Linked DNA regions of Rattus norvegicus. The protein of the gene in region 2 purifies or fractionates together with the protein of the main gene of each other region. This does not show direct contact. Links are inferred from orthologs where the notes say so. Each region holds a gene or a part of one and is shown on either strand. Other genes may lie near its edges.

The links. The genes of interacting proteins can lie anywhere in the genome.
Region 1: the proteins of Yaf2 (region 2) and Tfdp1 purify together in Homo sapiens (affinity purification with mass spectrometry; 3 studies listed by BioGRID and IntAct, counting the BioPlex papers as one, with this or other methods). This does not show direct contact. The link is inferred for Rattus norvegicus from reciprocal best matches to the Homo sapiens genes YAF2 and TFDP1.

Annotation. Positions count from the first base shown.
Region 1 is NC_086034.1:82,900,166-82,904,676, forward strand, and holds the start of Tfdp1 (transcription factor Dp-1), read right to left. Parts: upstream 3,002-4,511; 5' UTR 2,816-3,001; exon of another isoform or gene 2,193-2,815; intron 2,007-2,192; 5' UTR 1,944-2,006; coding exon 1,932-1,943; intron 1-1,931. UniProt on the Homo sapiens protein: Can stimulate E2F-dependent transcription.
Region 2 is NC_086025.1:126,375,561-126,380,249, forward strand, and holds the start of Yaf2 (YY1-associated factor 2), read right to left. Parts: upstream 3,100-4,689; coding exon 3,074-3,099; intron 2,777-3,073; coding exon 2,651-2,776; intron 1-2,650. UniProt on the Homo sapiens protein: Binds to MYC and inhibits MYC-mediated transactivation. Also binds to MYCN and enhances MYCN-dependent transcriptional activation. Increases calpain 2-mediated proteolysis of YY1 in vitro.

The sequences.
Region 1 (4,511 bases), on a different chromosome or scaffold from region 2:
ACAGTACCACAGGAAAGACCCCGAGTACCTGCAGGCACAGACCACCCCTCTACCACTGCTCGTCTGCCAGCTCCTGCCTGCCCCATTCCATAGCCCACAGTCCACAGGGAGCCCAACATACTCGATGCTCTGCCTGGGCACCAGCAGGGGCAGAAAAGCCCCTAAGCTATTTGTCTTCTGTCTGCCCTTTCTGAGACCTAGAGCGTGACTTTTGCCCCTCTGTTCTCGCCAGCGTCATGGCCTTCCGAGCCCCATGTCGACAGTGCACTTTACAGCCAGAGTTCGTCTTAAGCATCAAGTGCTTACACAGCTCCAGTGGTGCCTCTTTCCTACCCTTCAGCACAGGTTACAAAGTCCCTTTCCAAACCCCAATACTGCATCCTACTGAAAAAGCACAGGGAAGGCCCAACCCTGCAACCCCCACTTCCAGCCAGAGAACAGGGGGAGCCGCTTCGCCTCTGCCCAGGTCTGTGCGCACTTGTGGAGGGACAAAGCAGCAGCGCTCTTACCCAGTCACAGCACTGGCCTCACCATACCACAATGGCTAACCCCAAACCAGCTGGCCTCACACTCTCCACTGGATAGGACATCCTGACCACTTGCCATCATGGTGTCTACCCACCCACCCACCCCTTCCCCAGGGACACAGCACACAGGAGTGCATGATGCAAAACTGAGGTGACAGGACTTGGAGCATGCTGACTCACTGAAGATCACTGAAGAAGATGCAATGATCCCCGAAACCACACCAGGCCATGGGGTCTCAACGAAGGCACGGGAGCCAGTGCCCTGCTTACACACCGTTTACCAGACCTAGCTACTTTGTGGGCACGCACTGAGCGGCACGTCTCTCCTTAGGCACACACGGGGGGAAGAGTCAGGACGTGGAGGCAGGCAAACAACAGACATAACGAAATCGAGCCCCACGCCACATACAGCTGTGACTTCAGGTGACCTACACACGGTCTCTCAGGGTGGAACTCGACTCCCAAGAGCAGGTCCAGTGCTTGATGACCATAAGACGGACACCGTCTGATCCAGGTGGGCCACTAGGCATGACTAAATCCTTGGGCCTCTAAGTCAGGACAAGACTCGGTACCTGCGCCACAGTTTCAGTGCACTTGGGTACAAGTCTAGCTGATGTGGTATTATCTGCCTGCATTTTCAGGGCTGCACAGAAAATTACACTCATCTAATAGTCAAAGGACAGTGAATGCTGAAACACTGGCACAGGCACGATCAGTGTTGGAGGGAGTTATAAAGTAATACTGCGAACATGTATGTGACCAAAATCACAGACTGTATTTTTGCCCCCTAAAAGCCTAACTGTCAGTACCCATTTCAAAAAAGAAATTTCAAATGCTCAGTAGCTTTGTAGTAAATACGAAGCTTAACCAACCAGCGTTTCCGTGTTTCATTAACCACCAAACGTCATCTTTCTGAGAGAAAAATGTGCCCAAACAAGTAGTTGGGATTCAACCCATCAAAGTGGAATTACGGTCTTACATACTACATAAAACAAGTTAAGTTTCATGCATAATGCATCGTAAGTTGCATGCTGACAGCTCTCCTTCGTGGAAACCCACTAGCAAAATACCCCCCTCACACGTTCATTTCAACTGGGAGATGCATTCAAACACAAATTTTGTATTCAAGCGGTTTAGATAGATTAAAGAAAAATCCAGACATCATCATCTTAACCACAAAGAAAAAAAAAAAAAAAAACGTGCCAGGCTTCAGATGACAAAGAACATTTGTGCGGAGGGGAGGCACCCACCTACTGACTGGCCACCCCTCACCTCCATCCCAGCTCCTGCCTGTAAAATGTCTGAGCAAACCACTGCCACGCAGGTATGGCCACTCTCAAATAAAGGGAGAGAACTGCAGCGAGCTATGCTAACATGTCTGCAGCATGCAGAACTCATACTTACATCTTTTGCCATGTTACCAGATCCAGGAAATCAAGGCTTTAACTGCGTACCCTCCACAGAAGAAACCGGACTTATCTGGTAAAAAGGAAGGGGACGAGTAATGAATGAGAATGAAAAAAAAAGAAGTTTAACGCACATCGCATTTCAAAGGAAACATCTCCCCACCAGCACGAGGCAGGCCTCCAGGCAGCAGGGGCCTTTCTTGCACAATCCCAACAGGAGAGCTAGCCAAGCAGGTCCCACACAGGGATTTTAAGTCACCTCTCCAAATGGAAATGCTCCCTGCGGGCACCAGCAGCTCCCACCCGCAGAGGGGCCAGACCCCGGCCCCTTGGCGGAGCGAGGCGCAGCCGTCAGGCTCACCCCACCTGGGCACGCGGGCCCCGCCTGACCACAGGCCCCACCGAGTCACAAGGCCCCCCACTTAGGCACACGACACTGCGTGGTTCTGCCCGGGCTGCAGCAGGCCCCGGGGCTGCCCAAGACCCCGAGGTGCCGCCGACCACTCTGACAGGTGGGCTCCCGGCCGCCCGGCCGCCCCACCTGTCACTAGGCCCGGCCACCAGCCTCGCGCGCTGGCGCGGACAGAGCCGGAGGGTGGCCAGGACCCCTGCCTGCCGCCCACGCCACGCCGCGTCGAGGCCGACTCCGGGCTGAGGCTGGGCGGCGGGCGGGATGCGACCGGACGCGGGAACCGGGCTGGGGCGGGAACGGGGCCGCGCGCCCAGCCCGCGCCCTCCCGCCGCGACCGGCCGGTGCCCCCGCCACACCTGGCTGGCCGGCGGGGCGCGCGGGGCGGACGACGGGGGCGCGGGGGCGCCGGCCCGGAGGTCCGGCCCTGGCGGTCCCTGCCCTGAGCCAGCGGCGCCGGGACGCGGGCTCACCCTGGGCCGAGCGTCGGGCCGGCGTGACGTGCGCGCGGCGCGGTGACGTGGGCGGCGGCGGGCCCGCTCCGCGCAGCGCGCCTGCGCGCCTTTTCGCGCCTTCGGCGCCCTCCTCCTCCTCCTCCTCCCGCCGCTCATCTCCCGCGCCTCTCGCCGGTGCTACCCGCCCTGGGATAGGGGAGGGACCTGTGCGCGCGTGCGCGTGTGGCGGCCGCCGACGCTGAAAAGCGCTGCGCGCGCCTCCATGTGCGCTCGGAGAGAGGCCACGTGTGTGCGCGCCTCTGTGTGTGTACACCAAGGGCCAACTGTATGCATGTCTGTGTGCATGCGCAGGGAGAAGAGGGCCACGTGTCTGCCTCTGTGTGTATGTGTGTGTGCCACGCGCGCCAACGGTGAAAAGTCTGTGGTGTGTGCCATACCTGCATGTACACATAGGGAAAGGATGATGTGTGCACACCTGTGTATATCCATAGTCTCGCTATACAGACACGTGTGTATTCATGGAGTATGAGTCGTGTGTGTGCATGCCTGGACGTATATATAGAAGAGAACCCTCTGTGCATACAAATATGGATACCTATGTTTAATGCCTGCACACTGAAAAGAATAGGTGAGTGTGTACACACAAGGGAAAAAAATGACCAGTTCTGAGCGTGCTTTAAAGTACCTGCATGTGCACCACAGGGGGAGGAGTCTTGTACATTTATACAGAACAAAGTAAAGGCTGTTAGGATGCATATTGGACAATGCAGAGACAAGATCCCCCACCTCTGCTCAACTATTGACCTCCACAGCCACAGGGCCTGAACTTGGGCAGTCAGAGGGAGCAGCCTGAAAGACAGGTGTGTGTGTGTGTGTGTGTGTGTGTGTGTGTGTGTGTGTGTGTATGTATGTGTAAGACTAAAGCTGGAGAGCCTGGGAGAAGAATAGACTGTGGCTTGCAAATCAGTCCAAGTGGTTCAGATAAAATGACCCAACTTTTCCCAAGCATATGGGACTAAAGACCAGAGCGCTGTTCAGTACTATCAGACAACTGTTAATGTGAGCGACCAAATTTTATTCTGAGGGGTGGAGAAGCCAAATTTGACTCCCAAACAGATCTTTCTCTATTACCTAGCTTCCTTGGTCAGACGAGTTAGCATTTGACTGAACAGTCCTCAAGCTGCTGTCCTGTTTAGAACTCTTCCTCAGCTGCTTTGAGGAAGCAACACTGTAACCACAGCAGCTTATTGCTAAAGCACAGCTACCGTTCCAGAAGGCAATACCCAAGGCATGAGTATCTCAATAGCTTGCACCAGACCTCTTACCATCACAAGCTTTAGTAAGCTCTAGTAACCATCTTCACCCAGGATGGGAGGGGGTGGGGGTGGGGTGGAGGGGGAAGCATCTGTAATGGCTGAGCAGAAAGGCTGTGATTGGTGCAAACATCCTTGCCACACCCCATTTCTGACTATATAAACAAGCTATTTGGCTAACTTTTTCAGTAAGCTGGGAGAGTCTTTCATCCAATAGGAACTCCTCTCAGGTGACGGTTTACAAGCTAGACTGGTAATATGAAGAGATAAACCACAGAGCATCAGCAGAGCAGTGACAGCAGCAAGGGGGAGTCTGAAGAGTTCTGGGGAGCAAACAGGTCCAGAGCAGCAGCACACAGGTGGTGGGGCGACAGACAGAAATGGGAAGACACTTAGAGAAG
Region 2 (4,689 bases):
TAGTCTAGATTTTATTTAAACTAAAGCCATCAAATACAAAATTAAATTCAATGATAAAAATGGAATAAATTTATAGGATGTAATTTACTAACTGAGGAATTAAAACTATGTCTAGTGGTACCTGATTGTGGTCTATACCTTATGAATATAGCCTCATTCTGCAGAATGACATGACCTATCAAAGATGCAGCCAAGGAAAGTAATTGTCTGCTCCATTATAGAGCATCTGAATCAGGTGCTTTAATAAAAATTTTACATATAGGTGTGTATACATCCATTCCAGTGAAATATTGAAGAAATACTATGAACCCATCTTTTATAAAGACTTAAAGAAGAAAAGCTTTCAGACATCTAGAATAGCTTAGGCTTGGCTTTACATGGCAACTGAAACAGATTCAGTTCAGAGGTCGTTCTGACCCAAGGGATTCAAATGCTGGCTGTGGTCACACAAACAAGTCATTAGCAAGCTGTAGCCCTGTGCTGCAGCTGCCTGCTCCCTGCTCTCCCTCTGGCCAGCCTTACTCTTTAAATTCTACCTGCCAATAAACACGTCAACTGGGGGAATAACCCCCAACTCCTCAACTCTTGCCTTCCATCTGTGCTCCGCAGTCCTCCGTCCTGTTTTCCTCTCATTCCTCTACGGAAACAGTCTCATGTAACCTGCATCTTCGTATTAACAAGGCCCTGGTGTACGTCTATGGCTCTATCCAAACGTGGATGCCACTCGACTTCAGAAGAAGCAGAAGGAAACATAACAGCAGAGAAACTCGAGCTCCTACAGTTAATTTAGGGGCAAAGTCAAAAGAGACAATTCAGAGAGAGGAAGAAGCTGAGAGGGTCATAGTGCAGAACACTTACTTTTGGGAACACAGTGTCCCTTAAGACTTCTGGTGAGTGGCCCAGAGCCTCTTCAGTTTCAATCCAAATGACAATGCTTCTCTGAGTCCTCCTCAAGTAATGTTTCCACCACTAAAAATTGGATCTACAAGAGCTCAGATATACTGGTAATAAAAAAAGTCAGGGGCTTCCAAGTGGGCCCCAGGCCCCTTTTAAAGTAGGCCCACTTCTGTCCTGGGCCAACTCCCCTGTGCACTACAATCCTTCCAGGGGCAGGGATTCAGCCTGGTGCTTCTCTTCTGAGTGTCACCACCTACTCTACTTCTCCGTTCCTCTAAGCCCAAGACTGGCTGTGGAGTAGGACACCAGCTTCCCCCTATCCTTGCTGTCCCTGCAAATAAACAAACAGACTCGTCTAATTCCTAAAAGTATGAGAGAATAGAAGGAAAAACAAAAACAAGCGAACAAAAAAGGCACCAATATAGTGGCAGAGATCAGGGTTATAGTAATTGTCTCTACTTCAAAACGCCTGCCTCAAAATAACCAATCAAATGAGCTACATATTGCGTATGTCCAAATATGTATACAGTACACACTAAGCCATTCCCATCCTTACACAGACATACACCCTGTGCTTTTCAAAACACTTATAACAGGAGTCCAAAAATAGAAGTAGCTTCTCATTTTAGAATCTTTCCTTGAACTTAAAAAGTATTTAAAACCTTGCTTTTTAATAGATGCCAAGAAACGCCGAAAATATTCTATTCGATGTAAATGAGGACTCACAGTAAAAAAAAAAAAAAAAAAAAAAAAAAAAAACCTATTGAGATTTACACGATAGGTCTGTCAAAAGCGGCCAGTATTGTAGAAACAATAAAATCTCTACATGTCTCTACACTCACCATGTTAATAAAATTCTATAAACTGAATTTTAAAACCGGGATACCTCCTTTTTAGAAACAACTTTGACTATTTAGAATGTCAAAATTATACAGGCCCTCTTTTTCAAACAGAAAATTCCCCATGTTCTGCGATAATTTATATTCTAATAGGCTTCAGAGTAGCAAAATAAATACGTTACTTAAACATTGCTACAAATCACAGGACTCAAAGAAATGAACTTAAAGTCTGCCTTCCTGCAAGGGACCTGTGACCAGGTGGAGACGGATCAAAAAGGCCACTGACTTTTTAAATGTTTTTAAAAGACAATACTATATATCTACCACACCACAAATTTAGGGCCAGAAACAGACAAAGATCAGGATACCCCGTTTGTGTAAAGATATTCAGGCACTCGAGTAAAAATGCGTTGCTGGGCTCGCCTCCCAACTACTTAATTGTAAAATATTACAGAAATGGAACAAAAACCAGACGTGAAACCTTGGCCTGACCCTTCCGGACATCCGTTACTAAGAAAGTTTGATCTATTACGATCCTACAGCGATACTTTTTCCCCAGGGGGACCGAATGACATCGCGGCCTTTCCTCCGTCCCTTCCCCCTCCCCGTCCCCGTCCCCGCCCCCTCCCCGCACACCAACACCACAATGCGGCCAACGTCTCCGCGCCCGGCTGGGGAGGGGGACACCGCGCCGGCCACGCACTGAATAGCAGCGGCCGGCGACCCCCTTCCATAATTCATCCCCCGAAGCAGGCGTCGCGGACCACGTCGCCGCTGCCGCCGCGGCCGCCACCGATCCCTCGCCGCAAGCCGCGGCTCAGCCGGGTCGCGCCCCACCGCGGACACCGCCTGGCTGGCCGCCCCGCCGTCCCGCGTCGCGCGGGGGCCGCGGGCCGCGGACGCGCGGGACTCACCGGGTGGAGGTGCCCTTCCGCACATCGCACATCATGCACTTGAAGGCCTCGGCGCTGTTCCGGAAGGTGCAGACGCTGCAGTCCCAGTAGCCCTCATCCGAGGCGGGCTTCGGCTGCCGCTTCGGCCTGCAGGACACAACCGGACACGACGCAGCGCGGGGTCAGCCGCAGGCCGCGCCCGGCCCCGTGCCCCGCCCCGCCCGGCCCGCGACCCCCGCCCCGCCCGGCGCCGCGCGGGGGAGGGGAGCGCGGCCGCTGACCCCGGCCGCCATCGCGGCCCATTGTGGGCAGCGGCGCGCGGCGCCGCACCCCCTCTCCACACACACACACACACACGCACACACACACACACACACACACACACACGCGCGCGCCCCGGGCCGCGCCACCGGGCCGCGGGCGCTCCGCCGGCGGGCGCCCTACCTGGTGGGGCTCTTCTTGTCGCCCATGCTCGCTGCCGACGCGCGCGAGGCCGCGGCCCGTCTGTCAGCGCCGAGGCGAGGGGCCGGCGGAAGCGCGGAGGCGAGGGGGCGGGGAAGGCCGCGCCGCGAGCTGCAGCCGCCGCCGCCGCCGCCACCGCCGCCGCCGGATCCCACGCAGCCTCCAGCTGTCGGGGAAACTCCTGCCCGCGCGCACGTGACCCGCGCCGGCCAACCAGCGGCCGCGCCGGAGACTTCAAACGCGGGGAGCGCGGCCCAGCACCCGCGGCGAGTTCGCGGCGCCGCCTCCCTCCTGCTCACCCGCTCGCCGCCCGGAGCGCTCAGGCCGTGGCTCGCACGCCCGGAGGGGCGCGGTGGCTGGCGCCCGCAGACACACGTGCGCCCAGCGCGGCGGGGACCGTCGTCCTTCATTGGGGGTAGCGACCCAGAGGCTCGGGAAAGGTTCGGTGCCCTGCTCTGACTTACATAATTCGAACGTGACGAAACCAGGGTCTGATCCTGTTTTAATTCCAGAGGCGTCCTCTTGGCCTCACGGGGCTCTGCAGTGGCTTGTTATAAAACGGACGTTCGTGAGCTTTCCTAAGACGAATGAGGTTGCTTGTGTCCTGGACACCACCTCCCCAGCCTCGTTACTTCAGCCTATCAGAGACACACCTCGCCTGTTAGACCCAAACAACCATCTCGCTGGTCCTTTAAGCTCTGCTCCCACCTCCCCAACCTAGCGGGTACCCCACAACCAGAGTTAGCGTGCCATCGCTCTGATCGAGAGGCGACCTTAGCGTGCCAAGTCAGGAGAGCTGCTCCTTTGAAGAAAGGGTAGATGAAATCCATCCTTTCGCGGAGCCCTGCCTTTACTGCCTTACTTGGGTGTGCTGATGGAGGCGGTGTAGCTTAGCGTTAGGCTTAACTAACTGAAGAGGACCCAGTTCAGGCACTGAGTACTTAACAGTTGATCTGTGTGACTCCTAGTTGGGATACACTATAAAGGGTGTTTAGAAAATCCAGCTGGACTAAAGCAGGATAAAGCAAATTTTCATCATAATACTCAGAGGGGGGTGGCAACTAAAAACTTAGGAGTTAATTATTTATGAAGTCCTTAGTATTTTGAACTATATTGTCCGTGGGTAATTTAAATAGGAAAGCAGCTAAAAACCGCAGCTAAGGGAGACTGCTGTATTGATGTATTACTTACCAAAAACATCAAAAGTTAATAACCGAAGGGGGAATGCTGACCTTTTATCATTGGGAATTAGAGATTAATTGGGGTAATTAAGAGGGAACCGGGCTACCAGATTCTGAGAGAAGAAACTTTTTTTTTTTCTTTCGGAGCTGGGGACCGAACCCAGGGCCTTGCGCTTCCTAGGTAAGCGCTCTACCACTGAGCTAAATCCCCAGCCCCCTGAGAGAAGAAACTTAAAATGAAGTATAGCAGAACGGGCAAGCATATGGCTCAGCGGTGGAGCACTTTTGAAAAATCATTTTAAAAAATTGTTTTATGTGGGGTCTGCTTGGTTGTTTAGTTTTTTTTTGTTTTTGTTTTTGTTTTTTTTTGCAAAATAGACTTGATCTAGTTGAGTATAAAAGTTATATGTTAGGGCT